2 linked regions of the Astyanax mexicanus genome follow. The protein of the gene in region 1 interacts with the protein of each later gene in a pairwise test. Links are inferred from orthologs where the notes say so. Each region holds a gene or a part of one and is shown in the gene's direction. Other genes may lie near its edges. The genes, in order: ccnk and cdk18.

The links.
Region 2: the proteins of ccnk (region 1) and cdk18 interact in binary tests that used the Homo sapiens proteins (3 or more experiments, as listed by UniProt). The two-hybrid records come from large-scale screens. The link is inferred for Astyanax mexicanus from reciprocal best matches to the Homo sapiens genes CCNK and CDK18.

What each region holds. Positions count from the first base shown.
Region 1 is NC_064408.1:54,981,142-54,997,415, reverse strand, and holds the start of ccnk (cyclin-K), read left to right. Parts: upstream 1-10,370; 5' UTR 10,371-10,700; coding exon 10,701-10,897; intron 10,898-11,008; coding exon 11,009-11,090; intron 11,091-12,235; coding exon 12,236-12,367; intron 12,368-12,780; coding exon 12,781-12,886; intron 12,887-12,990; coding exon 12,991-13,048; intron 13,049-13,219; coding exon 13,220-13,389; intron 13,390-13,529; coding exon 13,530-13,732; intron 13,733-14,323; coding exon 14,324-14,357; intron 14,358-14,471; coding exon 14,472-14,540; intron 14,541-14,798; coding exon 14,799-15,373; 3' UTR 15,374-16,274. Other genes in the region: 24-hydroxycholesterol 7-alpha-hydroxylase, read right to left, coding at 1,202-1,295, 2,882-3,031, 4,404-4,578, 7,917-8,052, 9,124-9,300. UniProt on the Homo sapiens protein: Regulatory subunit of cyclin-dependent kinases that mediates activation of target kinases.
Region 2 is NC_064431.1:6,532,902-6,548,770, reverse strand, and holds the start of cdk18 (cyclin-dependent kinase 18), read left to right. Parts: upstream 1-8,428; 5' UTR 8,429-8,673; intron 8,674-15,869. UniProt on the Homo sapiens protein: May play a role in signal transduction cascades in terminally differentiated cells.

The sequences.
Region 1 (16,274 bases):
CCCACCCAGCATGTCTGCTAGACTGCAACTCTTCCTTGGCTTTCCCAGTCACCAGATTTATCATCATTCTAGTAATTTATAAAAGCAGCTGGTGCTCCAGCTTTGGTAACTTTCCAGGCTTCAGGGTCTACAGGCCAAGCTGCAACATCTGTGGGTATGAGGATCTTTTTAGGGTTTTATGATTTATCAGTAGCATTAGCAGGCTCACATGGCTTCCCTAGCCATGTATTGAAGTAGAGAGAGAGCCGGTGGCCAGATAAATAGCAGATTTAAGTCCATTTCTACTTTTGCATAAATTAAATTAAGCAAAGCGTTCAGTTTACCTCTTACCAAACTGCCATTTTACAGGGCTAACTAAGCTAAACCATTTGTTTGACTGGCTGCCTTCGTGTGTTTAAATTTCGCTCACATGTGATTGACTAGCAGTGCTGAGGTATTTTAAAATTTATGAGTAGAAAAGCACTACTGGGGGTTCAGAGTGGTCCAGCAGACTAAGGCGCTGCTGGTGAAAAAAAGCTAAGTTTTATGAAAATCTGAGTAAAAACATGTTTAGGTATTTTGCAAATTTCCATCAGAAATTGCCCACTCTTGAGTCCTTATACTCAAGCAGAATATAAGGCAGTTTCATTTAGTATTGTTACTAAAAAAAAAACATTAAAATTGTAGGTCGCAGGTTCGAATCCCCGCTCATTCAGCTTTGCCATCAGCTGCCGGCGCTCAGAGGGAGCACAATTGGCCCTGCTCCCTCCAGGTGGGTAGATATTCTTGCTGGAGTGTGGGCTGCATCTATTTTGGCTTGTTGCTTTGTTTAGAAAAGATCAAGGTCAAGCACGAGACAAAACAGCAGTGTGGACAGTGGTGAGTTGTGGCATGTACCCCTTCTCTGAGAGACACAATTAGCACATTAGTTTGGAATGCTACTACTGCTCTATTATATTTATACATACATCTTTAGTAATGTCCTCTGCAGTTATGACAGAAACCAGCTCATGTTTGTGCTGTTCTGTAGGTAGACAAAATCTGCCAATTTCCAGTTAGCTGTCCTATCCAAATGAACCAAATTATCTGTGTTTGAGCAGGAATAGTTACTTATCAGCACTGTCCCTCTAGGACACGTTTTGCTAACACACTAGCTGTTTTTATTTGGCTCTAAAATAGTTGTATCCCCTACAATGAACAAATCATAACTCTGTGTACTTACCTCACCCCCACTTTCATTAGAGTGGTTATCCACTGCTCTGACAATCATGTTCTCCAGCAGAGACAAAAGCCACTCCTTAGCACTGGCCCATTCCCTGTCCAATAAATTAAATTCCTTTACATATAGACAGCAAAATAAAAATGCAGGAGATGCATTATTTACAGCTTAACTGAGAGATGCAGAAAATCATTACATACATAATTTTCATAATTTTCCTTTTTACATCATTGGTTGTTTGTAGGATTTACAGAAAGTGTGCAATATTGGTTTAAATACTTTTGCAGTAATAGTACAAAAATAGGTTGGTAAGCTCACTGACCTTTGACCTACACACACAGGTAAATTCAATTATAAAAAAAGGGTGGCCAATTGTAAGTTTTTCTCCTCTTTGCATTTTCTCTGAAGAGTGGCATCATGGGCCTCAAAACACAACTCTCAAATTATGTGAAATCAAAGATTGTTCAACATCAGGAAGGATATAAAACATCAGGAAGGATATAAAAAGCTCTCAGAGATTTCAGCTGTCAGTTTCCACTGTGAGGAACATAGAGAGAAAATGGAAGATCACAGGCACAGCTCTAGTTAAGACCTCAGATAATCATTGGAGAAGGATGGTGAGAACAGTGCATCATTCAGCTATTCAGAGCACTTTACACAAGAAGAGAAGAAGCCTTTTCTGAGCACACGCCACAAACAGAGTCGCTTGAGGTTTGCTAAAGACCGTTTAAACAAGCCAGCTTTATTTTGGAACAAGGTGCTGTGGACTGATGAAACTAAAATTTAGTTATTTGCAGGGTGGTATGCATGAAAGAAAAAGAACGCAGAATTCCAAGATAAACTCTTGCTCTTCACAGTAAAATTTGGTGGTAGTTCTTCATGCTGTGGGGCAGTGTGATCAGTGCAGGTACTGGAATATTGTTATAGTTAAGGGTCTCATGGATTCCAGTCAATATCAGCAGATTCTCGAGAACAATGTTCAAGAATCAGTGAGAAAGTTAAAGTTGCTCCGGGGCTGGATACTTTAACAAGACAAAGACCCTAAACACTGCTCTAAATCTACTAAAGCGTTCATGCAGAGGAACAAGTACAACATTCTGTAATGATCATCTCAGTCCCCAGACCTGAATATTATTAAAGATTTGTGGTGTGATTTGAAGCAGGCTGTCCATGCTCATAAACCATCAAACCTGACTACATTTAACTGAAATTGCTGATACAAACAACCAACGATTTATAAAGGAAAATCAAGAAAATTATCAGGGGTGCCCAGGCTTTTCCATATCACTGTATTTATGCTTTAAATATGATTTAGTCTAAATAAAAAAAAATACTTGCACCCAGTAGGAAAGGTCAGAGCGTTAGCCATAACCCTTACCCAAAACCTAACCTTAGCTCTGGGATGAGCTTCCTCTCAAACTCTTAACTGCTTAAATTGTATTTGAACTATTTGAAACTGCCCACCAAGTTCAATTCCTGTCATTTGACTCCTTCTGGGTGCAACTATTATTTTTAAGATGAGAGTATATGGTGTTACCATTAGTCAAATTCTTAAAAAAAGGAAAAAGGTAAAACTACATATACATCTTTCAGTGCAGCAGCTGTGGGGTGGAATAAAACAAGAGCAGTAGTGCATTTATTGACTGAGCAAATAGGTTATGAGGACACTGGCCAGTCACTAACTTTAGAAACATATCAGGGAGCTGGGATCCATACTCAAATCCATCATCATAAGTGGTGAACTTCTCAATGAACTTTTGCTTTTCCAGGGCACTCTTGGGTGAATTGGATTTACCCAATAGGTTACTCATCACAGCTGGGTACATGACACTCCTGCAAAGAAAAGAGTAAATGTAAATGTGACCAAACTCAAACAGTTCAGACAATAGCATGTAATTTAATCCAATTTCTTAAAAAATGTATGCATGCCATATTGGTGTGTTAAATAAACAATGGTGTGGAAAAGGTGTTCACTCTTATCTTTTTTTGTAAAGTGGAATTGGGGCTATTGGTTGTATATGGTTGGGTATTTTCCAGCCTTAGAAATAAAAACCTTCAATTAAAAACTGCATGTGTTTATTTGTGTTGTTTGACTATTTTTCATTTGTTTAATGAACTGAAATATTTATGAGTGACAAACATGCAAAAAAAAAAGAAATCAATAATGGTGCAAACACAATTTTACACCACTGAACAATTAAATGAGACATTTTCGGTGTCCCATGCAATCAGAATAATGCTGCACTAACCTGCAGGATTAGTGAGGTGTTTTGCTTTGAATGTGGATAAGACAATTCTAGCCAGATGTCAACATTTATGCTGGGAACTGCGGGTAGTAATGTCTTCTGTGATGTATTCCCTATACACGTGTAACACTGTGGACCAAGGAATGTAAAAATCCTGACACAATTTTCAGAAACTGAATGTTTCATCCACCTGGCACCCTCTATCAGATCTTACTTCAACTCCCACAATTCACCTGGCTTAACCATGTCAATCAGCCTCACTCACAAGAGAACGCTTTACAACGTATACAAGAGTAGGTGTTCCCACACTGTTTCTTGAGGTAACATTTTATTATGAATTTACAAACTGCGGTCCTGTGACTTCGGCCATGTTAATGTATATGTGGCTTTTTTTCTTCAATGTCAGCCAGCTGCCTCAATAATATTTATTCTGATACCATCTATTGTGTTTTTTGTGTTTGTTCACATGTAGAACAGTGAACAGATCAATGATTCAAGAACCATGTCTCTATACACACAGTGCAGACTGCAGTAGGTGAAGAAAACAATACATATTTTCCAATGTATGATTAATTAAAATGTTTTTGTCTTTAAATGGTCTGAACTCTGTGGTGAAAGTTATGATCTCATGCTCTCTGAGTCACTCTTTCTTGGTTTTCTGCAGTAAAAAAACTGCAGCAAACCAAGATAATTTGCTTAGTTAATTTTTTTGGCCAGGCAGTGTATGTCAGTGACAATTAATGGTCTTAAAATTACAATAAAATGTATCCAATAATTGCTTATTTTTTATCATAACAGGCCTACATTACATATATACAATCTAAATGAAAAGAATATAGATTTGATTTTACACTTCAGACACTGACAAAAATTATAAATATGTTATATATGCTTGGCTGTGACACTTTCTTGAAAAAGAAAAAGGTCTTGTGTGAAAAAATACATGTGACAGGTTGTACCTGACCAGCTTATTGAGAGAACCAGATCCTTTCCTCCCCAAGAGCTCCAAATGATTGTTGAACTCTTCACACAGGTGGTCCACCAGCAAGGCTGTGTTGCCTGGTGTCAGTCTTCCTTTAATCATTGTGTTACAGGCTGGATGGAATTTAAAAAAGCTCTCTTTGCTAATGGATGCTGGGGAGAAACCCAAAGCATGCCAAGCTGTTATAGCTACACCACAACACTCAATATTTAGAATATGCCTTAAATGTATTAAAATTAGCAACAGCAGACAAACTAAAGTAGTAAAAATTGTTTAGCTAATAAAAGTCATCACACTAGCTTGTGTACATGCAACTGACATTGCACTGTTTGTGTGTATATTTTAACTCTAAACACTTACTGCTTGCCCACAGTTTTACCATTTGTTTTCTTAAAAACATACTATTTTCAAGTTACTGCATATACACATCCTGTATATATATATATATATATATATATATATATATATATATATATATATATATATATACAGGTGCTGGTCAACGAATTAGAATAATTTGAAATAGTGCAATCATGAAATTCTTTGAATGCATTTTTTGTGCAGAAAGCAAATCAGGTGTTCACCGCACCTGTCCTACTCGTTAGACTAATCACAGAACTCGTTACCTGGAAAAAAAATTGCTCAGCTGAGCTTTCCAAAAGGCCCATTTAGGCCATTTAACTGTGACACTGTTGTTTTATTGAATTAGAATAATGGAGAAACCGTTTCATTGAATTAGAATAATTTTTATTATAATTACAATCATCACTTTCTCAGTATTTTGTGGCTGCCCCCTTGGCTTGTATGACTGCCTGAAGTCTCCGCGGCATCGATTTGACCAGCTTGTCGCAAGTTTCCGCACTCACAGCTTCCCAGGCAGTGGCGATGTTCTGCTTCAGTTGGTCCAGCGTAGTAGGCTTTCTGTCGCGAATTTTCCGCTTGACGATGGCCCAAAGGTTTTCAATGACATTGAGGTCAGGCGAGTTGGCCGGCCATGCCAAAACTTCAAGCTGTTTTTTAGTGAACCAATCTTTGGTCGACTTTGCCGCATGAGCCGGTGCAAGATCCTGTTGAAATATGAAGTCTTCTTCGCCGAACTGTTCCTCAACAGTCGGAATCAGGAACGTTTCCAGAACATCTTGATATACGGCAGCATTGACAGTCTTCTTGAGGAAGCAGAGTTTCCCTACACCTCGAGCGGACATGCATCCCCAGACCATAACGCTCTGGGGAAACTTGACGGATCTTTTCACACACTCGTGGTTGTAGGTTTCACCACCACGACGCCAGACACGAGGACCTTGGTCACCGAAGGAGATGCAGAAGCGTGATTCGTCACTGAAGACCACTTTCTGCCAGTCTTCAGCAGTCCACTCGCCGTGTTCTTTGGCCCACTTCAGCCATTTCTCCATTTGTTTCTTGTTCAGCATCGGTTTTACTGCTGGAACGCGAGATTTGAAGCCGAGTTCGCGCAGACGACGGTAAGTGGTTGATCTGGAGACGTCAGCGCCGGGCTGCTTGTTCCACAAGTCGGTGAGCTCGGAAGTGGACTTGAACCGGTTGCTGACTGCGATCTTTCTCAGCTGCTTGTTGTCACGAGCAGAAGTTTTTCGGACGGCGGAACAGTTGGTGCGCTTGCTGCAGTTTTTCTTGAGAGCTTTGCAGACGGAAGACTGGCTGATGCCGAGCTGCTCAGCAATTTTAGTTTGGGTCAAGCCTTGTTGGCGAAGGGCTTGAATTTGAGCCACTATTCCGGTTGAGAGGTCGCGCTGCTTACCCATGATTGATTTTACAACTTAGAAATTCTACTCAACCCTGACTTTATACTGCACAGTGAACACTCTTCACAGAAAACAAAAATTCGAGCATTTATTCTAATTCAATGAAACGGTTTCTCCATTATTCTAATTCAATAAAACAACAGTGTCACAGTTAAATGGCCTAAATGGGCCTTTTGGAAAGCTCAGCTGAGCAAATTGTTTTCCAGGTAACGAGTTCTGTGATTAGTCTAACGAGTAGGACAGGTGCGGTGAACACCTGATTTGCTTTCTGCACAAAAAATGCATTCAAAGAATTTCATGATTGCACTATTTCAAATTATTCTAATTCGTTGACCAGCACCTGTATATATATATATATATACAGTACAGGCCAAAAGTTTGGACACACCTTCTCATTCAATGCGTTTTCTTTATTTTCATGACTATTTACATTGTAGATTCTCACTGAATGACCTGGCCTCCACAGTCACTGGACCTGAATTGAGATGGTTTGGGGTGAGCTGGACCACAGAGTGAAAGCAAATGGGCAACAAGTGCTACACACCTCTGGGAACTCCTTCAAGACTGTTGGAAAACCATTTCAGGTGACTCTACCTCTTGAAGCTCATTAAGAGAATACCAAGAGCAGTAATCAGTGTGCATAGTGTGGCCAGCTCCTCAGGAAAGTAGCTATTGACTGTCCTAAAAGTCGCTAGAAGACACTAAATTACGCCATCGCCTAATTTGCATAATACATTTTTTTGAAGCTGTAAAGGATTAATGTTGTGGGTTGTGGGAGAGAAAAAAGTAAAAAAAACAAAAACAAAAAAAAAACACCCCAAATGTTACAAATAACAAATAAACAACATGTGGTTAAATGTTATTTCTACGTTTTTGTTTTTTTGTTTGTTTTTTTTTCAAGTTTTTTTTATTTTCAAACCTATTATAGACAAATTGTTCAATGATGAGCTAGCTAGCTAGATGTTTAGCTTTTTACAAAGAGGCAGACACTGTGGACAAGGTGAGTGATAGGCTGTGTGGTGAATGAGGTAAGTGACTGACTGAGACTGTGAGTTAAATGTAGTGATTGCTGTTCGTGTCACATTGAAGACACCTTTATATTTACATCCTGTTCTGTAAATACGGGGCGGGGTCAGTCAGTGGCGGCTGTGAGCATACGCAGTTGATATACAGTGTATTCGTAGTGCGGTATGGGTGTGCTCTGAGTGAGAGACTGCACTGTGAGTATTGTGGGGCGGGGCTCACGGCAGCACATGCTTTTTTTTACAAAAAAGTCGCTAGAGTGTCTGAAAACTCACCAATTATAGCGACAAAGTCACTAAGTTGGCAACACTGAGTGTGCAAAGCAGTAATCAGAGCAAAGGGTGGCTATTTAAAAAAAAATAGAATATTTTTTGTTAAGTACATCTACAATGTAAATAGTCATAAAAATAAAGAAAACACATTGAAAAAGAGGTGTGTTCAAACGTTTGGCATGTACTGTGTGTGTGTGTATATATATATATATATATATATATATATATATATATATATATATATATATATATAATATAATATAATATAAAAAAAAATATATATATATATATATATATATATATATAATATAATATAATATAAAATATATATATATATATATATTACTTACACAAACACAAATGACTGCAAACACAGTTCGAGTTACTAGAGTCATGGGAAGCAAAGAAGATTACCTGTATTGCGAACAGGCTCTTGCACTGCTTGTTCAAAATCAACATCTTTGGACATGAAAAAGGTTCGAAAGTCTTCATGGAGCGTAACAAAGGTCAGCCGCTTCCCAGCAACAAGAACTGTAAAGACAGGCCCATACTGGAAAACAATACAGCATGCTCATTTAGAAGAATAAACAACAACACAAAATACTATTTACATGCTGCATGATGTCCAGACCAGCTATAACTTTAGTTTTGTTGTTGTTGTAGTTTGTTGTTGTTGAAACACATTAAACTTTAAAACTGTCTGTTTTAAATTCAAATAATTAAATAAGTCCACTGCCTTTGAAATTAGACTACTGTCTACTGTCTTTATCTACTATCCCATAGAAAGAAATGGACAAATTATGTTTCTTTTTTTTCTTCTGCAGATATCATACCAAAAATACTTATCAAAATGAATAAGCATCAATCAAATTTAAATGTTAAGCTGTTAGCTAAACTTACTTTCTGAGAATTGTATGTTGTAGTTGTTTTACTCATGTTGTGGTTGAGTCTAAATTAAAAGACAATGCTGAAATAGCTTGACAACTAAAATAAATGTTGTCTCTCATCAGTGTTTCTCTCAACACTTCTACCTGCTCACAACGATACTATGATACACTATGATACAGCAACTCTACTGTGTTTCTGTGTGTCCAAACACAGACACTCAACACTGCTGCTGAAAGGGGAGGAGCTGGACTTCTGACCTTTCATAGTCCTCTAAAGATCAGCAGAGTGTGATGTCATTAACATCTGGCTATTCAGGAGGCTGCATTTATAAGGAGTACATGAAATGTTAGGGACTTGTAAATAACATCCATGATAATCTGATTTTAGATTTGATTTTACTGCAGATTAATTTTTATATTATTACTTTTATATATTCAAAACTCCTTAATGTGAAACAACACTGACAACTGTGAAACATTAATACGTAATATTGTACAACAGTCGATGTGTTTGCTTTAACTTATCTTATAAAGTCTGTAAATGTAGTGCATCTCCTAAAAAACTGTAGTGAAAAAAACATATCCATCATGTTTTTTTACAGTGCCCCTTCTTGCTATAAAAATATAAAAAACAGGTATAAAAAAGCTGTTACAGTAGGAATTTAACATTGATATGGCATTTTGGACAATATAAGGTCTGCAGGACGTGCTGCTTTTAACACTGAGACGCTTACCTTAGCTCTTGCACGTGCAATGAAATGCAGAGGCTCTTTTCCAAACTCAAAGGCAGCTCCAACCCACGGGATCCATCCTCTGATGCACGGAGGGGCGTTCGGGTTGTTCTGAAGGAAGAGAAGCCGAAAACAAAGGACGACGACAGTCACTAAGAGAAGTAGGGTAAACCACTCCATCACAGTTAAGTAGTTTAACGAACGCTCTCCTGTCCGGCTAGTGGTTTCTCCTCAGTCGTGGGACCGATATTAACAGGGCCAGTATACCAGGCTGACTCCCCTACAGGACAGGCGCCGCTACTTCAGCAGCCCACACTGACCGGAGGAATACCCGCCAGAGAGTCTCCCCGGGTAAATGAGTTCACATGGAGCAAATAATCAAAACAAGAGCTCATCTATGTTTAAAAAATATTCTCTAAATATAGAACCACAGTAAATATTTCAGTAATGAAGGCATGTAAGCCTATACGTTTTCAGACGTGCTCTGGCTGCTACTTCATAATCAGCTCATCAACTTTCTAGAATTAAAGACATTTCCTGGACAAGCAGTTAGTTACTGGTTTTTAGTTTACTGATTTTAGTTTTTAGCCTTTTATCTCCATTCATTCCTATACATTTATAACTTAATTCAATCAATTCAATATTGATTATTTTGTTTTAAACTTCACTTAAATATAAACGGCCCCACTGACTGTGGTAAAAAGTGATCCCCTTCAGTGAAGAAAATGTGATGTGTTCCCCTTATAGATTTCCTCATAATAGGATAGAGTTAACAACAAAATGAACTGTGTCATCAATGATCACAAAGTTTAAAAAGCATAAACTGTTACTTATTTTCCTTTAAATGGAAAATCTCCAATGAAAATACTGTGTAGTCCATTGTACCAGAAACAACAAAAACAATAATAATAACAATAATAATAATAATAACAATAATAAAAACAATAATAATAATAATAATTATTATTATTATTATTATTGTTGTTGTTGTTGTTATTATTGTTGTTATTATTATTTTTGTTGTTATTGTTATTATACACATAAAAAAATAATGTAGGATTTCACACATAGGTTTAGCTGTGTTCAATATGCATGCTAATTAATGCCAGTTAAGTGTATATACTTTTTTTTACTTTGATAAGTGATCCCACCACATGTTGGTGGGAGCTCCAGGCATGAGGTGCAGAGAGTGGAGAGATTGTGGAGAGAGTGGAGAGATTGTGGAGAGAGTGGAGAGGCAGCAAGCGGAGGAGAATCATTCTCCACCAGTTGGGGGCGACCGTCGCTCTTATCTGTTTGAAGCGTCCTCCCCGCGCGAGGAAGAGTGCGGTGCGGCTGTGTGTGTGTTCCTGTGTTCAGGTGTGAAAGAGAGCTCAGAGAAGCGGCGCTGCACGCGGTGTAGAGCGCCGGTATTCTCACAGTGCTCCGGGCCGGGCTGCGGGAGAGTCTGCGGGCGCTGAGGGAGAGGAGCGGAGCTGAGCTTCAGTGAGAAGGAGCCGCGGGTCCGCCGGCCGCGCTGAGGAGAAGCAGCAGCTCTTTGTGCCTCCAGCTTTGTGAGCAGCACTTCCGATCTGTGTCAAATGAAGGAGAACAAGGAGAACTCCGCTCTCAGCAGCTTGACCACTAATCTGGACCACATCAAGCCATGTTGGTACTGGGACAAGAAGGACCTGGCCCACACCCCATCCCAGTCCGAGGGCCTGGATCCGGCCACTGAGGCCCGATACCGGAGAGAGGGGGCCCGCTTCATATTCGACGTTGGAACTCGACTGGGACTGTATCCTTCATTTCCTTCTGCTCGTGTTGTTTTAAAACCCTGTATTACTGTGTGCTGATGCGCGACTTACCGCTTTAACCTGTTTACCCTTAACATTTCCTCCTTCAACAGACACTATGATACTCTGGCCACAGGGATTATTTACTTCCATCGCTTCTACATGTTTCATTCCTTCAAGCAGTTCCCGAGATATGTAAGTGTGGTCCGGCTCTGTGTAACACTGTCTTGAAACAGTACTGTAGGTATGGGGATAAACCACCCCAGATTTGCACTGGATCCTATTTACAGTGTACAAACAGTTCCTGATTTGTTTGTAAAAAAATTTGTGAAGAAAAAAAACAGGAGTCAGATGCATACTGCCCATAATTATATTTTTATTATATATATATATATATATATATATATATATATATATATATATATATATATATATATATATATATATATCATATTATATATTATTTTATAATTATATTTGTGATGTGCTTTTTGCCATTGTAGTTTTGCCAAAGTGGTCGTATTCTGTCTTTGTAGGACTCTGGGGGGTCTGTAGATATTAATGAATTAAAATGTTATTTTTATGTAATAGGCATTTTAATTAATAATAAATATTTATTGACATAAAGATAATGGTCAAAGACTTTGTGTAATAACGTGGTTTATTAGTATTTTAATAACAAGGGGATAAATAGTTCCAGTGTTTTTCCAAATAATTAACAAATTAATGTAAAAGTGTAACACTTTTTATTTAAAGAGCGATATAGGAAAAAAAAATGTATAGTTGCTTACCTAAATGGCAACATGTAAAACTTTCCATTAAGCTTACAAATCCTGTATATTAAGTAGCTTGGTTATCTCAACATTTTATGTAGTCAGCAATTGAATAATGACAATGGCAATTTAAATCACAACGGATCAATAAATTAATATTCAGTAAATGGTTTAATTTGTCAAGTAAATAAAAAAAATGAAAGGAATAAAATGGGCATCTTAAAATTGCTTACAAGTCCAGGTAGGACAGTCCTGCCCAACCATATTGGTGACCTCTGCTTCACATGAGTCTTACCTAATATCTCTCATAAGCTATGATTTAGTAATATTTTAATGGAGGGCAGTATTGTTGGGATGAGGGGCGAGAAGTGGAAAGAGTTCATGGATGCCTGTGGGTTACTGGCACAGTCTTTTAACAAACTTGTGACAAGTCAACATTTATTTTCTTATCAACTAAAAAAACATAGCATAACAGTACCGTTGGAATACGGTTATTTATCATTATGTTGCTTGACATTGTCCTACAACAGTTTAGGTGAAAGAGGTTGTTTTGCTTTAATTTTCCAGGTCACAGGGGCTTGCTGTCTGTTCTTGGCTGGAAAGGTTGAGGAAACTCCAAAAAAGTGCAAAGACATAATAAAAACAGCTCGCAGCCTGCTTAATGATGTGCAGTTCGCCCAGTTTGGGGATGATCCAAAGGTAAACATAGAGTCAGAAGCACATACTGTAAGGTCTGTAAGTATTCAGCACCTTATTTTATTTCCATATGTAAGTAGTAAAACAAGTTGAGATTACAGTCTTGTCAGCATTTTACACATTGGAATATTTGCTGGATCAGTTTAATTGTTTTTTCATTATTCTGAAAATAAATAGCTTGAAGGATGCTGCAAAGAAGCAAACACTCTAGTTGAATACATTTAGCTTAAATTGTTTTCTAAAAGGCATATGTAACATATGGACTTGTACATTTAAGTTTTTTGTTACATTTTTACTTTGTAGTGTTTTGATTTGAAGACATTCAGATTCTGAAAACATGCCTATTTCTGACCTCAAACTGTACTGTAAATGTTGATTTTTGTGAATAGTTTGGTTTGTATAACTTTTATTAACAGGAAGAAGTTATGGTGTTGGAGAGAATATTGCTTCAGACAATAAAGTTTGATCTGCAAGTAGAGCATCCATATCAGTTCCTTTTGCGTTATGCCAAACAACTCAAAGGTATATGATTTTGGTGCCATTTTTGATGTTGCATTACAGACATTTAGGTTTTGTTTGTTTATTTATTTGCATGTTTGTTTGTCTTGTTAACTGCTGTTTTTCAGGAGACAAGAACAAAGTGCAGAAGCTGGTGCAAATGGCCTGGACCTTTGTGAATGACAGGTTAGCATTAAAACCAACCTGCATTTTAATTGTCCTTCTCATGGAGAGCTGTTTGGTTTATTGTAAATTAGAGCAATCTGCAATTGTGAAATTTAGGGAATTATTATTCATTTTTAATATTAAAGATTAAGCAGACTGTGTGGTATAAGCAATTTTGTTTGGTTTTTCCAGCCTCTGCACAATGCTGTCTCTTCAGTGGGAGCCAGAGATTATAGCTATTGCTGTCATGTACTTGGCTGGTCGTCTGTGCAAGTTTGACATTCAGGAATGGACTTCCAAGCAGTCATCCCGTCGCTGGTGGGAACAGTTTGTGCAAGATGTTCCTGTGGAGCTGTTGGAGGGTAGGATGCTTTAATGTGTATTTAAATGTGTGTGTGTGTGTGTGTGTGTGTGTGTGTTATGGGAGTGCTAAAACTGAACAAGATGACACAAAAGTCTTTATAGCAAGTTTGAAAGATAATTGCTTGCCTTTCTTTCTCAGATATCTGCCACCAAATCCTGGATCTATATTCTCAGGGCAAGCAGCCCATTCCACAACAGCCCCAGTTGCAGGAGAAAGACAAGCCACCGCTACCTCCTGCAGGCCAGCCAGGCCAGTCTGGAGGTCAAAACCCTGCAGCTCCACCTCCACCTAAGAAAAACTCTCCCCAGGCCAGCCCCCCACGGCAGCTTAAACGACAGCACGTTAGTTGAATATTTATTTTGTCAGAGTTGTTGGGTTGAAAGGCTTAATTTAATGTTTGTATATGTAATTAATTTTATTTTAAGTAAATATGTTGAGATTATTAATGCTTAGCTGTACATTTGTACCATGTCAAATATTTTTGGTTTAAACTTTTATTTCATGTCCATTACAGATAGATGGCTTGTGAGATGTGTAGCGAACATACAAATACACTGTTAATTGTTGAAAAAATAGCTGCACCATGAAGGAAGTGTTTGATTTTTAGATTCAGGGCTTACCCAAGCGTAACTCTAACCCTAAAATGCCACTTCTTCTTCAACTGCACGAATTGTATTGGAAATCTTCTCCACTTGTAAGGGATACTACCAAGAGCAGGATTCATAATAAAAAGCATTCTTATATAATCAGTCAGGATTTGCATCATTGTGAAAATTAGTTATATGCCCCATGACTGATTATGCATATATGCATGAAGTGAGGCATAATTGTCAAGGATGTAAGCATTTTTATCTTTAGTCATGAACAGTACTCCCCACTAAAATGAATTGCTAGTTATGTATTGAAAATTATTTTTAATCCTCTTTTTTTAGGTTTCGCCAAAAGAAGAGTCAAAAGTTGCCACAGGTATAGATCGGCTTTTTTCCTAGAACTATTTAAGCTGGTTACAAATGTGCTGTTTGTCAATGACGTTTTTGTTTAACTTCATGCATGCTAAACCTTTTTTGTTTTTATTTGCAGAGCAAATTGGCTCTAAAATACCACGGCTAGAGAGTCCAATGCCTCCCTTACCAGTTACTCAGCTACTTGGTAAAAACCTCAGTTGTTGCACTGTTCCAGGGTTAGGTTTAATACTTGTCTAAGAAAACTGAACCAAATTACCTAGTAAAAGTTTCAAAATATAATTGACTTATTTAATTACCATCTTTGAAGTTCTTTAAATAATTTTAACATTTTCATGTATTGATGGTTGTAAAACCGAGCTTAATACTTAGTTTAAACAAACTACACTAATAAATTTGGGTTAATATTTTTTTACTTCAATACTTTAAATGTTTCTCTATTTAGATCGCAAAGGCCCACCCTTAGCCCCGGCCCCTCCAACAGAGACAGAACCAGCAGCCTCAGCTGACTCAGACTTATCCAAGGCACCTCCTCCTCTGCCCCATGGAGCTCCACCGCCTCTGCCTCATCGGCCTCCACCTCCACCCCCCTCCAGCTACATCATGGGAATGTCCACTTCTAGTTCATATATGTCGGGTGAGGGCTTCCAAAGTCTGCAGTCCATGATGAAGACAGATGCACCATCATATGCCCCTATGCCCCCTTCATATGGAATGCCTTATCACCCGCACGTTTACCCTCCTCCAAACCCTCCACCTCCTGGCCCTCCACCACCTGCAAATTACCCACCTCCTAACCTTCCACCGCCCACCCCGGCCTACCCTCCACCAGGCTACAATCACAATTACCCTCCTCCTCCCCCTCGCATGCCCCCAGGACATGCGGTTCCTCCGCCAGGAATAGGTTTGCCTCCTGCTGGGTATCCCCCTCCGCCAGTCCCCCCAGGCCAGCCGCAGGTACCCATGCCCCCTGGCATGCCGCCAGTGTCTGGGATGAATCGCGGAGCATGGATGAGATGAAGACGGGTTGTGTAAGGGGTGCAGCTGAAGCTCATTTCAAAATACCGTCTACCAAAAGCATCATCAGTCACCTAACTCAGGAAGGTCAGAACGTCATTGTATTGTTTAGTCATGTTATTTGTTTGTGAGAAACTCATGACTTACACTATTAACCTTTATTTGATTTTTGCCTGATTTCTGTTTTAAGGATATAGATGTAGAATCTTCATGTTTAGAAATATTATATATATGTGACGTTAGCATGTTTTTTTTTTTTTTTTTTTGGGGGGGGGGGGGTTGCTTTTGTTTTTTTCTAAAATGCAGATGTAGGACATCAGTAGGGTCTGTGTAAATATGAGAGGAATCTGATCCTTAATGACATCTATTTTTACTCTAGAAAGCTTCATGAATGTGTCCCAACAACTCAAATAGTTTTAAAATGACAGCACTGACTTGGCTCCATATATTACTGTTCTGTAATCTGTTTTATTATTCATAATACAATAGAACCAGTAACTGATGAATGCTTCATTTGACCACCTAACACTGTTGGACTTTAAGACTTGAAGACAGCAAATAGTGTTTTTTTCTTGAAATAGAGCCAATAATAAAAGTAAAATTTTTCAGGGGAAGGTTTTTTGATTAGATTGGTACATAAATTCTGTACATATCTCTAGAGGAAATGGTTTGGTGCTGTACGGTAGCATGAATTGTCACTTGTACATATGTACAGTAAAATTGTATAATCAGGAACATTCATGTTAATGATAGTTATTTTTGATTTATTATTATGCTACTGTACAATTGGATGCAAGAAAAATATATCTTTTTCATATAAACAAGTTAAAAGTGACCATCACACCTAAATGGACTAAACAGACTCTTCCGTCATTAACTTGATTTGTAGCCACAGTTTGTGTAA
Region 2 (15,869 bases), on another chromosome or scaffold:
ACTCGACCCCATCACATTTAACCACATCACATTCTACCCCGTCACACTCAATTCTGTCACATTCAACCATGTCAGACTCAACCATGTCACATTCTACCCCGTCACATTCAACCCGTCACATTCTACCCCGTCACACTCAACCCCGTCACACTCAACCCCGTCACATTAAACCCTATCATATTCAATCCTGTCACATTAAACCCTGTCACATTCAACCCGTCACATTCTACCCCGTCACACTCAACCCCGTCACACTCAACCCCATCACACTCAACCCCGTCACATTAAACCGTATCATATTCAAACCTGTCACATTAAACCCTGTCACATTCAACCCTGTCATACTTTACCCTGTCACACTCAACCCCATCACATTTAACCATGTCACATTTTACCCCGTCACACTCAACCCTGTCACATTCAATCATGTCACATTCTACTGCGTCACACACAACGCCATCACATTTAACCATGTCACATTCTACCCTGTCACACTCAACCCTGTCACATTCAATCATGTCACATTCAACCCTATCACACTCAACCCTGTCACACTCTACCTCGTCACACTCAACTCCGTCATATTCTACCCCGTCACACTCAACCCTGTCACATTCTACCCTGTCACACTCAACCCTTTCACATTCTACCCCGTCACACTCAACCCTGTCACGTTTTACCCTGTCACACTCAACCCTGTCACATTCAATCATGTCACATTCTACCCAATCACATTCAACCATGTCACATTCTACCCCGTCACACTGAACCCTGTCACATTCTACCCTGTCACACTCAACCCTGTCACATTCTACCCCGTCACATTCAACCATGTCACATTCTACCCCGTCACACTCAACCCCTTCACATTCTACCCTGTCACATCCTACCCCGTCACATTCAACCCCGTCACATTCAACCACGTCACATTCTACCCCGTCACACTCAACCCCTTCACATTCTACCCTGTCACATCCTACCCCGTCACATTCAACCTCGTCACATTCAACCACGTCACATTCTACCCTGTCACACTCAACCCCTTCACATTCTACCCCGTCATACTCAACCCCGTCACATTCAACCCCGTCACATTCAACCACGTCACATTCTACCCCGTCACACTCAACCCCTTCACATTCTACCCTGTCACATCCTACCCCGTCACATTCAACCCCGTCACATTCAACCACGTCACATTCTACCCCGTCACACTCAACCCCTTCACATTCTACCCCGTCACACTCAACCCCGTCACATTCAACCCCGTCACATTCAACCACATCACATTCTACCCCGTCACACTCAACTTCGTCACATTCTATATAGAGGTTCTGTATAGAGGTTCGCTGGGTTGGCAACGGCAGAAAGCGACTCTACCTTACAGCTTAAAGGTTTTTCTCCAGACCTGCCACTGGAGTGACTCTACATTGCTGTCTGGAGGTTTATTGGACTGGCCACTGGAGGAACTCTTCGTTACAGATTTCTTCTCTAGACCTACTGCTGGAAGTGACTCCACACTGCCTTCTGGAGGTTTGCTGGGTTGGCAACTGCAGAAAGCAAATCTACTTCACAATTCAGTGTTTTTCTCCACACCCGCCACTGGAGTGACTCTGCGTTGCCATTTGGAGGTTTACAGGGCCACTGGAGGAACAGTACTTCACAGCTCAGAGGTTGTCTTCAGGTTCGCCGCAGGTGTGAATCTACATTCTGTTTAAAAGGCTCTCCAGGGCTTCGCTGAGTGACTCTGCACAACAGCTTCCAGGCTTTTAGGCTGGCCTTTCAGACAACGCAGGTTCCATACCATGATTCCAGCTATTCGGCTCTGAGGCTGAAGAGTGGCCTTCAACTCTTAAGGACTCTGGGCCACTAAAATATCTCCAACTTATATTATTATATGGATGTATTATATAAGAAAAGACAGATGATACTTAGACTAAGTGTATATAGAACACTATTCACATGTATCAAGTGCACACAGTCATTTAATTCTATATACACTTAGTGTAAATAGTTTATTGCTGGTGTTTACACTTAGTGTAAATCACATCTAAAAATAATATTTGCACTAATAATATAATTCTTAGAAAGTACTAGAATTCTCAAAGTGTAAGATTTAATAGAAGACTGATAAAACAAACATAATACTGTATAAAAGTAGATTAAGCTCAATCACGTAGATAACTAATATGTATATATGTACCAGTAATGAATGTTTTATTTATTTAAAATTATTTTATCAAACCTTTTCTTTTTAATAGTTTTTTTTTTTATATTACTTATTGTTTTACATTTTTCCAATGTAATTGGAATTTCATTGTAAAGGACTTTGAGCTGCATTTTCATCTATGAAAGTTGCTATATAGATAAAGTTATTATTATTATTATTATTATTATTATTATTATTATTATTATTATTATTATTATTATTATTATTATTACTGTTTTGCAAACTTTATTAAAGGATAGAATCACTGTTGAAACTGTTGAATCTCTGGGCTGTTATCAAAGTAAAAGCTAGTGTTGAATGTTTTATAATGTTTTTAGTGTTTGTTTGTCACATTAAATAAGTATAATAAAGCTAAAAAAAACACAGGCTAACAATACTCACCTCTGAACTGCAAAAAAAATAGACTTTACCGCAGTAAACGACTAATGCTAATACTGCTCCAGTCTTGGTGCTGGAGAAACTTTAACGAGAACTTCAGCAGAGTGGCTTTACTGCTCCTTACAACCTAACAGGTAAAAGTATTTGATTAGGTGCACAGAATTATAGGGAACACTGACAGTTTTTGGGGAAATGAATGGATTTTAAGAGAACCTAATAGTGCAAAAATTATGGTATGTGTATTTACTGTACTAAATAGCCCATTAATTGGTAAAGATTTGGTTTGAAGTATGTTTTATAATGATCTGCATTGTAAAATGCAATTCCTAATTGCATTTTACTTTGGTACCACTTTAAAATAAGACTACCTTTATAAAGGGTTTATAAATGGTTTACAATTAGTTTATTAATGGTTAGTAACTAGGTTGTAAATGCCTTAAAAATCATTAATAATACGTTATAACACATATGTAGAAGGGCAACAATTACCTGTTGTTTGCCAAATAGTGAACCCACAGCCATCTATATTTTTACATTTTAGAGCTTTTCAGATACTCAACATACTTTGTCTTCTCCGTCTAACTCAACTTGCTTCTCCATCTCCATATTCTCCATCAGTCAACATCAGTTTAACCAGTTAAATCCCAAGTTTAACCATTCCACCACTAACTCTTTTAGTCATTTATAAACAACAGGTCATTGTTGCCCTTTCTACATATGTGTTATAACTGATTATACAACAGTTACTTCCGACCTCACAATCTGATTGGTTTAGAAGTGTTTTAGCCGTGATAATATTCGTGATTACATCACGGCCTTCTCACACTAAACTTGTATCACTCCGCCGACGCGTTGCCGAGTAACGGCGTATATACACACAGGACAGTTTGAATCATCGCCTCCACCGGCACCAACAGCAGCGTTAGCTTAGCACAGGCTAGCACTCAACCACGGCACGCTCACCTGCAGCGCTGACTCATGGAAAAAAGGGAAGGAAATTCGCTCGGCTAATGCCGTCTGACAGCCAGAACGCTAACTCAACCAGCCAGGCTAGGCTAAGCTACGTTAATGCTGAGCTAAAGCAAGCTACGCTGACTGCGAGTTTCTGAAGCGCGGATAGCTTGACTCCGGTTACCTACCCACAGTCCAGCCACACCGACAAGCTAACCAACACCACCCAGCAAAACAAACAGAAATACTCCAAAAATGCGCAGCGTTCACCTGAAGACAACTCCACAGAGCAGGAGAGGAGAGTATTAGCGTTATTTTACGCTCCTAATGTTACCATCTTCGCTTATTCCACTTATTCCTGCCTGAACCATACACTGTTTTGTAGTTAAGTTGTGGTGGAACTACTTTTTGGCGGAAGGCACAGTCCATATTAAAGCATATTCAAACTGAATTTCTTAAAGTTCTTTGATTTATTTTCTTTATTCATTTTGTAAAAAATAAACTGTTGTATAAAAGCAATAGAACACGAGAGGGAGTGTGTTATCACGAATAACATCACGGCTGTGATGATCTATGGACCGAATCACAGCCGTGATGTTATTCGTGATAACACACTCCCTCTCGTGTTCTATTGCTTAATTATTAATGATTTGTAAGGCATTTACAACCTAATTACTAACCATTAATAAATCCTTTATAAAGGTAGTCTTATTTTAAAGTGGTACCTTTACTTTTAACCATGCAATGCTCGAACCATTTTTCGTTGCATTTGCTGGTCTGCTGTGCTCAAAACAATCAGGTATGTCTAGGGCAAGAAACCAGAGGAACAGCAGCAGCACAATAGTGCACGTTTACTCCCGGCCTGCAGGGCGAGCGTCGTGAGAAAACCAACCGAAGGCTGCATAGTGTGCCTTTAATCTGATAATTATTTTAATCGATTGACACCACTAATAAAGAGCTTTTGAAGAACCCTTTAGTTTTAAAGGGTGTAAGGACATCTTGTGTATTCTTCAGGCTTGAGGATTCTTATCTCAACGTCTTCAGAAAAGTAGTTAGCACTCGTTTAGACATCTTCAAGTCTGTATTACAGGTACTAGTCGTTCTATTGCACAGTGTTATTTTATGGTAATGTGCTCACTAAGCCGTTATGTAACCACTTGCCTCTTATTGTGTGCGTGTAGTGTTTCCGGAAGGAAGGGTTTATTGTCCGTTGCGATGTCTTGGGCTGCTTTTGAACACTTTCATGTAACGCTTCACAGGAGCCCGGAGGAAATATGATTATCTCTCGTAATGAGACACTCTGCTTTGTACTCGGAACTAATAGGCTATAAAATGCTTTGTCTAATTATCGGTGACGATAATCTGGAATGAGTTTTTTTTTTCCTGTAGTTCCATAACTCTGAAAGTAATGATTGAACAAACATTCATATTCAAATGCCTTTCTTTGTTCAAAAAGCTATAATATCAAATATAATATGGTCTTATTTAATTCTCATTCCTTCAAGATTCAAGTAAAAGACCTGAGGGTAAACATTTCTTCCTAATTCCAAATAAAAATATGTATAGCATTTATTTGCAGAAAATGAGAAATAATCAAAATCAAGAAAAGGATTCAGCCCTCAAATAATGCAAAGAAAGTTGATATTCATTTAGAAGCAACAAAACTAACGTTTAAAGAGCTCAGAAATCAATATGTAGTGAAATAACCCTGATTGTAACACAGCTTTAATGTGTCAGAGCATGCTCTCCACCAGTCTTTCACACTGTTTTTGGATAACTTTATTCCACCCCTGACACAAAAAATCAAGCAGTTCAGTTTGGTGGTTTGATGGCTCGTGATCATCCATCTTCCTCTTGATTATATTCCAGAGGTTTTCAGTAGGGTTCAAGTCTAGAGATTGACCGTCAAATTATTTGAATGTCAGTCAGCAAGAGGAAGATGGCATCAAGTGACCTACAAAAAGAATGGCAGATGGCAGCAAGTCATGTAAAGCTAGAAAAAATTTTTTAAAATTAAAATCATCTTCTCTGATTCTTCTCTGAGTCCAATTTTTAGCTTTCTCCCAAACCTTGTTTTCTATTGGTTAGGCGGAGACCTGGAGAGCGGCACAAGCCACATGGTTATGGTTTAGGACCCTCTTGTGGATGACAGGAGATGATCTGGTGATGCTTATAATATATATTATATTATATTAGATATTCAGACCTGAACCCCCATTAAAAAAAAACCTCTTAAATGTAATCAAGAGGAAGAGAGTTGATCACAGGCCATCAAACAAAGCTGAACTGGTTAAAGTTTTGCGCCAGGAGTGAAATAAGGTCACCCAAAAGCAATGTGAAAGACTGGTGGAGGAGAACATGCATGAAAGCTGTGATTAAAAACCAGGGTTATTCCACCAAATATTGATTTCTGAGTATTTTTGTTGTTTCTAAATGAATCTGGATACATTTCTCATTTTCTGCAAATACATTTTTGTTTATAGAATAATTCAAATGTATTTTACATTACGACCCCCTCAGTGAGTGGATCAGATACAACCCCGAAAACACATTTTTCTAAAAACCATAATGACTATAATAATGTTAACTATAATAATGTTATATTGAGATTTTAATCTTGAAAAAAATGGGATTTGCTAGGTTCTCTAGTGAAACCCAGCTGCACATATAGCCATTGTAAATTAATGTTTTTTAGTAGGACGTAAATACATTAAAGTAAAAGCTTAGTTGGACTGGAGTTTGTCTGGAGTTCTCTTGAGTCTCTGCACGGATCATCTTCATACTAGACTACATACGTCTGCTATGTTCTTGCTGGAGTGTGGGGGGCGTGGCATCTGCAGGTGTGATGGATCACAGTATAAACCAATAAGGAGTCGGAATGGTATATATTTATACTTCTCTACATCCAATCACAATCAGATTTGCTCTATCTGGGTGGAGAGATTTATCTGGATAGGGTTTTTTTATGATGAGAAGCCAGAATGAAAACGAGCTGAAATGAAACAGGAGTAACGAGGCTATTTTAAAAATGTAAGAAGTAGAAAGTTCAGATAATTGCGTGAAAATTTAAGGGGTAGAAGCAAAATTTGTCTAAAAAATATAAATTACTCCAGTAAAGTATGGATAACCAATCAACAAGGTAACAAAGTATCTGTACCTCTTTACTTCACAGTTTTGGTCTTTCATCAGTGATAACTGGACACTGCCTATACAGGACGCTGTTGATGTACTACCCCGGTGAAAAAAAATATATACTTAGTTGTACTTACAACATATTGAGAAATTCATTTAGAGAAAACAGATTTGTGTACTTACTTAATATATAAATATATAAAATATATATAAAAAATACATTAATATAATGCTTTCTTTAAATGTTTGAAAGTAAACTAACAAGTACAATATATTGTTTTTTTTTTTAAATAAATAGAATACTCCAAATATACTTTTGTACATTTTTAGCAAAGTGTGTTAAAAACAACTGTTACAGTAGTTCAGTGTATCCTGTAACTTTTTAGAAAGTAAATTAAATTACTACTACTAATTAAATTTTTTTTAAGTTAATTTGTAACTCGCTAAAAATTGTAGTTAAGTATATTAAAATATATTTTTATACCCAACAAATTATACTGGAAGTGTGCTACTTACAAAGACAGGAACAAAAAAAAAACATATTTGTTAAATATATGTTAAACATTGATGTTAAATATATTTAACATCAATTCTAATCTACCCGGTGTATAATAGTGATACAGTTGTAATAAGCATATTATTTAAATTATAAGCATATATTTAAACTATGGGGTTACATACATGAAGCAGTATGTTTAAATGTTACTTAAGTATATTTAAAATAGTTCCATTTTAGTACAGTTAAGTACATTAAGCACAATTTAAGTAATACTTTTTTAAGTAAGTACTTTTTTATATTTTTATATTGTAATTAAAGTATAATACGTACAAAAAAAGTGGTTCCATTTTAGCACTCTTTAAATATACAGATTAATAATAAAGTGGCTACAAGAACACTTTAGTGCACTATAGCATAATAATGCTTAGTATATTTTAATCTACTTTATTTGTCACTAAGGTATTCTCAGTCCAGCAGTGACACTGTGGTGTTTAAGAACTCCAGCAGCACTGCTGTCTGTGATCCACCATTAACCACAACAAGAACAACAGTCACATGTAATGTATGTGTATACAGTTACGAAGTGTTCTATATGTCCTAGAAAATGAGGATGTGTTTAGAAAGAAGGAGGTGGTCATAATGTTATGTACGCATGTGATGTGAGGACAGAGCAAACATTCAGAGTGCATTCCGAGCCTACGGCTGCGGCAGAAAAGCTCAGCAGTCGCTTTAGCCGGCGCTGGTTATATATTTGCTATTTAAAGCAGCCACATACACACAAATACACACATGAGCACACACTGACATTCACACTGCAGGCAGAGTAGGCTCGTGCCAGGAGGCGCTGCGATTGGCCGTTGCTATAACAATAGGGGAGGGGAGACAGCCAAGTGGGGGCGGAGCTTGGGTGTGATTATAAAATCCTTTAGAGAGAGACACATTGGCTTCCTGTATTTTTTTTCTTTCTTCTTTTTCTTTTGTTTTTTTTTTCTCCTTTAGTATTGTGTTAAATTGCATGTGTCTCTTTGTCTCAGTCTCTCTCTCTCTCCATCGTTTTCTTTTCTCCTGAAAGGAGGAAGACAGGAGCTAGGAGGTGTGGGAAGCAGCCTGTGGTGACAGTAGTGACAGTAGTGATAGTGTGGTAGTGTGAGGTTGCAGGGTGTAGAGAAGGGGAGGAGTGTGTGTTTTGTGGGGGGGGGGGGGGGGGGGGGCTGATGAGTGGACAAGTGAGAGCGTGAGCCCGTGTCCACTTCACGCCTTCTAAATAAGACGCGTCCAGTTGTGGATTATCTGCGTCTGCTGCCACAGAGCTGGAGGCCCCCACCCCCCCGCCACCGGCGCCCGCCTCTCCCTCTCTCCCTGCCTCTGCCTCTCTCTCTCTCCCTCTCTCTCTCTCTCTCTCTCTCTCTCTCTCTCTCTCTCACTGGCAGCAGTGCAGCGAGAGACGGGCTCCTGCTTCTCTCCCGCAGTCCTCTCCACTACTGTAAGTATGAACTCACACACACATAAATACACACACACACTCACAAACTGGATTGTCTGTGCCGCGGTTGATGGGGGAAGTTGGTACTTTTATCTGAGGGCGCGAGTCACGCTTTCAGGAGGCTCGTGATGGGAGGCGTGCGGCGTGTTTAGTCTGCTGACTGTTGACTAATTCAATGAGCTGGGAGTCTGTGGAGGAACAGGCAGGAACAGCCATTATTAGCATTAGTGTTAAGTGGGGGTGGAGGTGGGCTGCGGGTGCTGGAGTGGACACATCAAGACATGGTGGGAGGGAGGAGTTTGTGACTTTGCTGAGATGGGAGACGTTGTTGTGTTTGTATGTCTAAAGTATCTCCAGTATCTACAGTATCTATATCCTTGTTCCTGAACCGAGCATATAGGACACTTTGTAGTTCTGTTTGTAGTTCTACTGGAAGTAAACAGCAGATTGTAGTCCTGTATCTATATGTTCCTCTGTATACTTTATTGTGGATCAGAGACAGCAGTGCTGCTGGAGTTTTTAAACACCTCAGTGTCACTGCTGGACTGAGAATAGTTTACCCGCAAAGTCCTGTGGGCAACATCCTGTGGCCAATGTGTGTATTTGGACATGTATATGTACATTATATCTTTCTTTCTCAACCAAGCATATAGGAAACTTTATAGTTCTGCTGAAATTCCTACTGTAAGTAAATAACAGACTGTAGTCCTGTATCTATATGTTTCTCTGCATACTTTATTGTGGAGAAGAGACAGCAGTGCTGCTGGAGTTTTTAAACACCATATTGTCACTGCTGGACATACAATAATTCACCTGCAATGTCCTGTGGGCAACATCCTGTGGACTTGTGTCCTAGTGGCAGCATATTGGTACTACTGATAAAGGACTAGAGGATGACCAACACTGTGATCAATGTGTGTGTTCAGATATTTATGTACAGTATATAGAACTTTGTAGTTCTCCTGGAAGTAAACAACAGATTGTAGTCCTGTATCTATATGTGTATACTTTATTGTGGAGAAGAGACAGCAGTGCTGCTGGAGTTTTTAAACACCACAGTGTCACTGCTGGACTGAGAATAGTTCACCAACAATGTCCTGTGGGCAACATCATGTGGACTTGTGTCCTAGTAGCAGCGTCTTGTTTCTACTCATGAAGGACTAGAGGATGACCAACACTGTGACCAATGTATGTATTTGGACATGTATATCGTTGCTGTCCAATGAAAAACACTTATCTCCATTTTTGTTGATTCTTCGATTTTTAATTTACTACACAACAAACTGTCTCTTACAGTGTGCCAAAATGTCTTGATGAATAAACCTGAAGGAATAAACTCTTTTTACATTGACCTCCATTAAAAGTTTACAAGGTTTTTTTTCTCTCTCCTGTAAAGTTGTTGGTTTAGAGATAAGTGTTTTTCATTGGACAGCGACGATATGAACATTATATCTTTGTTTCTCATCCAAGCATATAGGACACTTTGTAGTTCTACTTGTAGTTCTCCTGGAAGTAAACAACAGATTGTAGTCCTGTATCTATATGTGTATACTTTATTGTGGAGAAGAGACAGCAGTGCTGCTGGAGTTTTTAAACACCTCAGTGTCACTGCTGGACTGAGAATAGTTCACCTGCAAAGTCCTGTGGGCAACATCCTGTGTTCTAGTGGCAGCGTCTTGTTCCTACTAATGAAGGACTAGAGGATGACCAACACTGTGATCAATGTGTGTATTTGGACATGTATATTGTCGCTGTCCAAATAAAAACACTTATCTCCATTTTTGTCGATTTTTAATTTACTACACAACAAACTGTCTCTTACAGTGTCCCAAAATTTCTTGATGAATAAACTTGAAGGAATAAACTCTTTTTACATTGACCTCCATTAAAAGTTTACAAGTTTTTTTCTCTCTCTCTCCTGTAAAGTTGCTGTTTTGGAGATAAGTGTTTTTCATTGGACAGCGACGATATGAACATTACATCTTTGTTTCTCATCCAAGCATTAAACGCCACAGTGTCACTGCTGGACTGTGACCACATGGTCCATAAAGAACTAGAGGCTGACCAACAGATTCAGAGCTTCTGTCTCTGAGTTGTATACATCTAGAAGGTGGAGCACCTATAGAAGAGAATTTCTAATAGAGTGGAGGACACATTTTTTGTGGTGACGGACAGTTCTGGTGGAAACAGGAGAGTTGAGGTGCACAATGAATTCTGCTTTGATTTGGGCAGCCATGGTTTTATGTTTTTCGGATACAATCCGGGTTAGCACCCGAACATCCCTTTCAGACAGCTTCCTCTTACAGCGTCCACAGTTAATCCTGTTGGATGTGGTTGGTCCTTCTTGGTGGTATGCTGACATAACCCTGGATACCGTGGCTCTTGATGCATCACAAAGACTTGCTGTCTTGGTCACAGATGCTCCAGCAAAACGTGCACCAACAATTTGTCCTCTTTTGAACTCTGGTATGTCACCCATAATGTTGTGTGCATTGCAATATTTTGAGCAGAACTGTGCTCTTACCCTGCTAATTGAACCTTCACACTCTGCTCTTACTGGTGCAATGTGCAATTAATGAAGATTGACCACCAGGCTGCTGTAATTTAGCCATGAAACCGCCAACATTGGTGACAGGTGTTTCAGTTTCATTGTCCAACCCCTGTATATACAGTTGAATGGTTCTTGAACGGTGGAACTAAAGCTAAAGCTTCTTTGATGAGATGACGCGTTAAAACACATGTACACACACACCTAGCGTCAGTTAATCACACTAATGGGCGAGCGAGAGACCAGTGGTATGGGCTGAACAATAGGCTTCAGGCTCTACCTAATTAGCAAAAAGAGTACAGCTATAAATAAACCAGCAGCGCATCATCATCATCATCATCATCAAAAGCGAGACACACTGAGAACAAACAAAGCTAGCTAGCTCTGAGCACAGTCACGCACCGACACACACACACACGCACACACACACACTCGTCCCTAACTTGACAACAGGGGAAGTGCGTGCCCACTGCTAAACTTCTCACGTTTCCCAGAGCTAAAGGGGAGGATTACTGCAAAATAAGCACCACTTATTACAGGCGAATTACTGTTTGAACAGCAGGAACAAAGTGTGAATCCAAGCTAAGTATAAATGCAAGAGACCTTCCGTCTCGACTTTCTAAAAAAAAAAAAAAAAAAAAAACAGTTTGAAAGTAAATTTGTTCATCTGATCAGTCGCGTCGTTTGAAGCTGGATGAAGCTTTGAGCTTCAATCATCGTCACAGATCATCTTCAGAGAAACAGCAGAGTCAGCTGTCCTCAAATGAACTTTCTGAAGTAGTCCTCTAAAGTAAACTAAAGCTTAAGAAGAGTACTGATAGTGCAAGTACAAGGCTCTAAAGTAAAGGCTAAGTAAAATACATTGGTTCATATTATTGGATCCACAAAAAAAGAAGGGATTGCATGTATATATAGGACTATATTTTTTATTTATTTGCCATTTTGGTAACAACTACCAACTAATTAGTTTTACACATTCTTCATTATTGCAAGAAATGATACAACTCATCCATATACAATCATTTAACCAAAGACAGATGCACTTATGTGGGTCTTCACATACAAAAAAAAAAAAAAAAAAAAAAACGGTAACACTTCCTATGAACCCTGTATTCATAATGCCTTATGAAGTGTAATGTTCATATAAATTGTATAATTGTATACAATGTAGTGTTGTAATGCACTATAAAACAGACTTAGTATATTTTGGTATAATGCTTTAGTGTTTTTATATGCTTTTTAAACATGAAGTAAATGTTATTATGCCTCACTGTAGGCATTTGACAAGGCATTTGAAAACACACTTTACGTAAAGCCAGTAAAGAGCACTCATAATGCTCTATAAGATGTTACAGTGAGGCACACTAAAATTTACTTCACATTTTAAATGCATATGAAAACTCACTTCACTTATAGTCTGTAATGACTGTATATAAGGCTTTATAATGTGTTACACACTTTTATAAAAGCTTAATTTGAGAAATTATAGCAGCTATTAGAATTCATTATACCAAAACATACCAAATCTGTGTTCTTATGAACAGATATTACAAGGCCTTATAAGCTGTTTCTTTATAAACCCTTATACTTGTAGTTTATAATGTGTTATGAAGGTCGCTGTCAGTACTTATGAGCAATTATACAGGCTTATTACAGTCATTATAAGGTATTATGCATGTCATATAACGCATTTTGAATGCATTTATAATGCATTATAAATACAGGGTTCATAGGAAGTGTTTCCAAAAATCCTCATGTCATTACATTTGTTTTAGAATCACTTTTGTAACGAATCAAAGAACAGATTTTCCCATTTTCCCCTTACTTTACTTTTACTTTTATACTTTAAATAGATTTCAATCCAATACTTTTACACTTTTATTTGAGAAAAAAAATGTTGAGTTGATACTTCAACTTCTACAGAAGTATTTTTAAACCCTATTATCTATAGTTCTACCTACAGAGTAATGAATGTGAATACTTTGACTGGACAGTGTTTAGCCAAAAGTTAGTCAAAAGCTAACATCTCACAATCGCTGCTGCTATCTCATTATTTTTGGCCTGTCATTATATATGTTTTTTGTTATGTGTGTCTACTGAGTCTATTACCAAAAAAAGGTTTCACTCTCGAGTCAAAAAACACTTTTTAGTGCTATATAAAACCTTAAAATGCTTAAAATTAAAATGTTTTTTTTAAGCAAAAGGAAAACTGCTGTGCTGCTCGCTTATCTACCAGCCGTGTGATATCAGCACCCAGGTCTAGACTAGTCTCATATACTACTTATCACATATGAGGCAGAGAGTCAAAAATGACTTGCCGTTCACTCGTACCTCTACCTCACGCAGTTCCGCTCCAGTACTGATGCAGTAGCTGTACTGAAACTCTTTGAGAAGGTAATTGCAGATAATTGCACAGTTGAATCTCAGTGAACAGTGACAAATAGAGGGCTTTATTGCTTATTGAAAACAAATTGCACCTCACTCTTAGCCAGCTGAATAGAGTGGGAGAAATTACCTCGGAGGAATGAAATGGGCAAATTCCTAAATGAAAAAGCTATTCAAAAGACTGTGGGTAGAGGAGGGTAGCTGTTGAGTCGGCTGGCAGGAGGTAGTCTTGGTTTTGTTGGTCTCGATGTCTCAGTAGGGAACGAGATGATTGGGAACTGAAGCAAGACAGACGTTCAAGAAGGCTGTGTTATCTGGTAGTTGTCGTCAGCAGTGATGCAATAAAATTTACTTTAAACAAAATAAATAATTTGGCTGAAGCAGTGCAATTTTACCAACTCCAGCAGTGCAATTTTAGATATAAATGTACCTCAGCGGTGCTATTGTAATCATTAATGTACTTAAACTGCTGCAATTTCAGTCATAAATTTACCACAGCAGTGCTACTCTACTGAAGTCACATATTAATGAAATTTACACATTGAAAGGCAGATAAAAATCTAAAAAGTGAGGGCAAAAGTATTCAGCCCTCTTTACTCTGAAACCCTTAAATAAAATCCAGTGCAATCAATTTCCTTTAGAAGTCGTAATTACTTAATTAGTTAATAGAGTCATGCAGAATTAGCATCTGTATGTTTACCAAAAGACTGACTTTTGGTAAACATACAGATGCTAATTCTAAATTAGCTCAGCTCGTTTTGTACAACTTGTACAGAGTAAGGAGTAAAGAGGTAGTAAACGTCTTTCTTTCAACAATAGTTTTCGTCTTTTCACTTTTCCATAAAGGCCAGATTTGTGGACAGATTCTCCTTCCTCCTGAGCTGTGGATTTCTGCAGCTCCTCCAGAGTGAGCATAGTCCTATTGGTTGGCTTCTTCTCTGACCAGTACTTTCCTTGCTTGATCTCTCAGTTTGGGTCTACGGCCATGTTTTGCCATGTTGGTTTGCAGTTGTTGAATACTTTTCTTCATTTTACTCCATTTTTGGATAATTTATTGAACATAACCCTGATTATAACCTAACCCTGCTTTAAACTTCTTCTCCACAACTTTATCTTTGACCTGTTTGATGAGTTCCTTGGTCTTTTTGATGCTGTTTGTTAACTAGTGTTCTCTAACAAACCACTGAGGTCTTCACAGAACAGATGTTTATATTTATACTGAGATAAATTTACACAGAGCTGGACTCGATTAACTAATTAACTGATTTTTGATGGAAATTGATTGCACTGTACAATTTTATTTAAGGGTTTCAGAGTAAAGAGGGCTGAATACTTTTGCCCTCACTTTTCAGATTTTTATTTGCTTAAAAAGTTGAAAAACATGCATAATTTTTGTTGCACTTCACAATGATGTGCTACATTGTGTTGGTCTGTCACTTAAAATATTGATTTAAAAAATATATGTTTGAGGTTGTAAGATGACAAAATTCCATGGAAGTCCATGGAGTATGAATACTTTTGCACGCCACTTGTAGAATGTAGAGTAGAATGTAAAAATGAACTTAAACCTGCTGTTTAAGCCTACCAGCTCTCCTGACCGTCCCTCTCCCACACTCCCTTCCCGCTCTGTACACAGCCATTTTCCCATTTTTTTTTTTTTTTACCAAATATGCCATTTTGTAGTTGCCAAATATTTTGCGCATCACCAGGCAATAAAAGCAGTGTTGTTTTGGTGTTTAAAGATTCTCTAATATTTTGTGGTAACACTTTACTTGGATGGTCCATTTGATGGCCTCTTTGATGCTCAACTGACATTTAACTAACATTCAACTACATGTCTATTAAAAGCAAATGAACTAAAATGTGAAAGTAAATGATTCTCTGTTGAATATAACCCTACATTCAACTCTAACCCAAACACTTATCTTAATATTTTAGGATTGAGTTTAGCATTAGATTTTAAGTTTAGGTTAAGGTTAAGGTTAGAGTTAGGTGTAGGGTTAGATTATAGGCTTAATTAAGGGTTAAGGTAAGGGTTAGGGTTAGGTGTAGGGTTTGATTTTATGCTTGATTAAGGGTTAAGGTCAGGGTTAAGGTGTAGGGTTAGGTTCTATTTTGAATCATTTACATTCAACATAGGGTTAAGTTAAATTTAATGGACATTCAATTCAGTGTTAGTTGAATGTCAGTTGAGCATCAACAAGGCCATAAAATGGACCATCCAAGTAAAGTGTTACCGATTTTGTTTCTACACAGTCCCAAC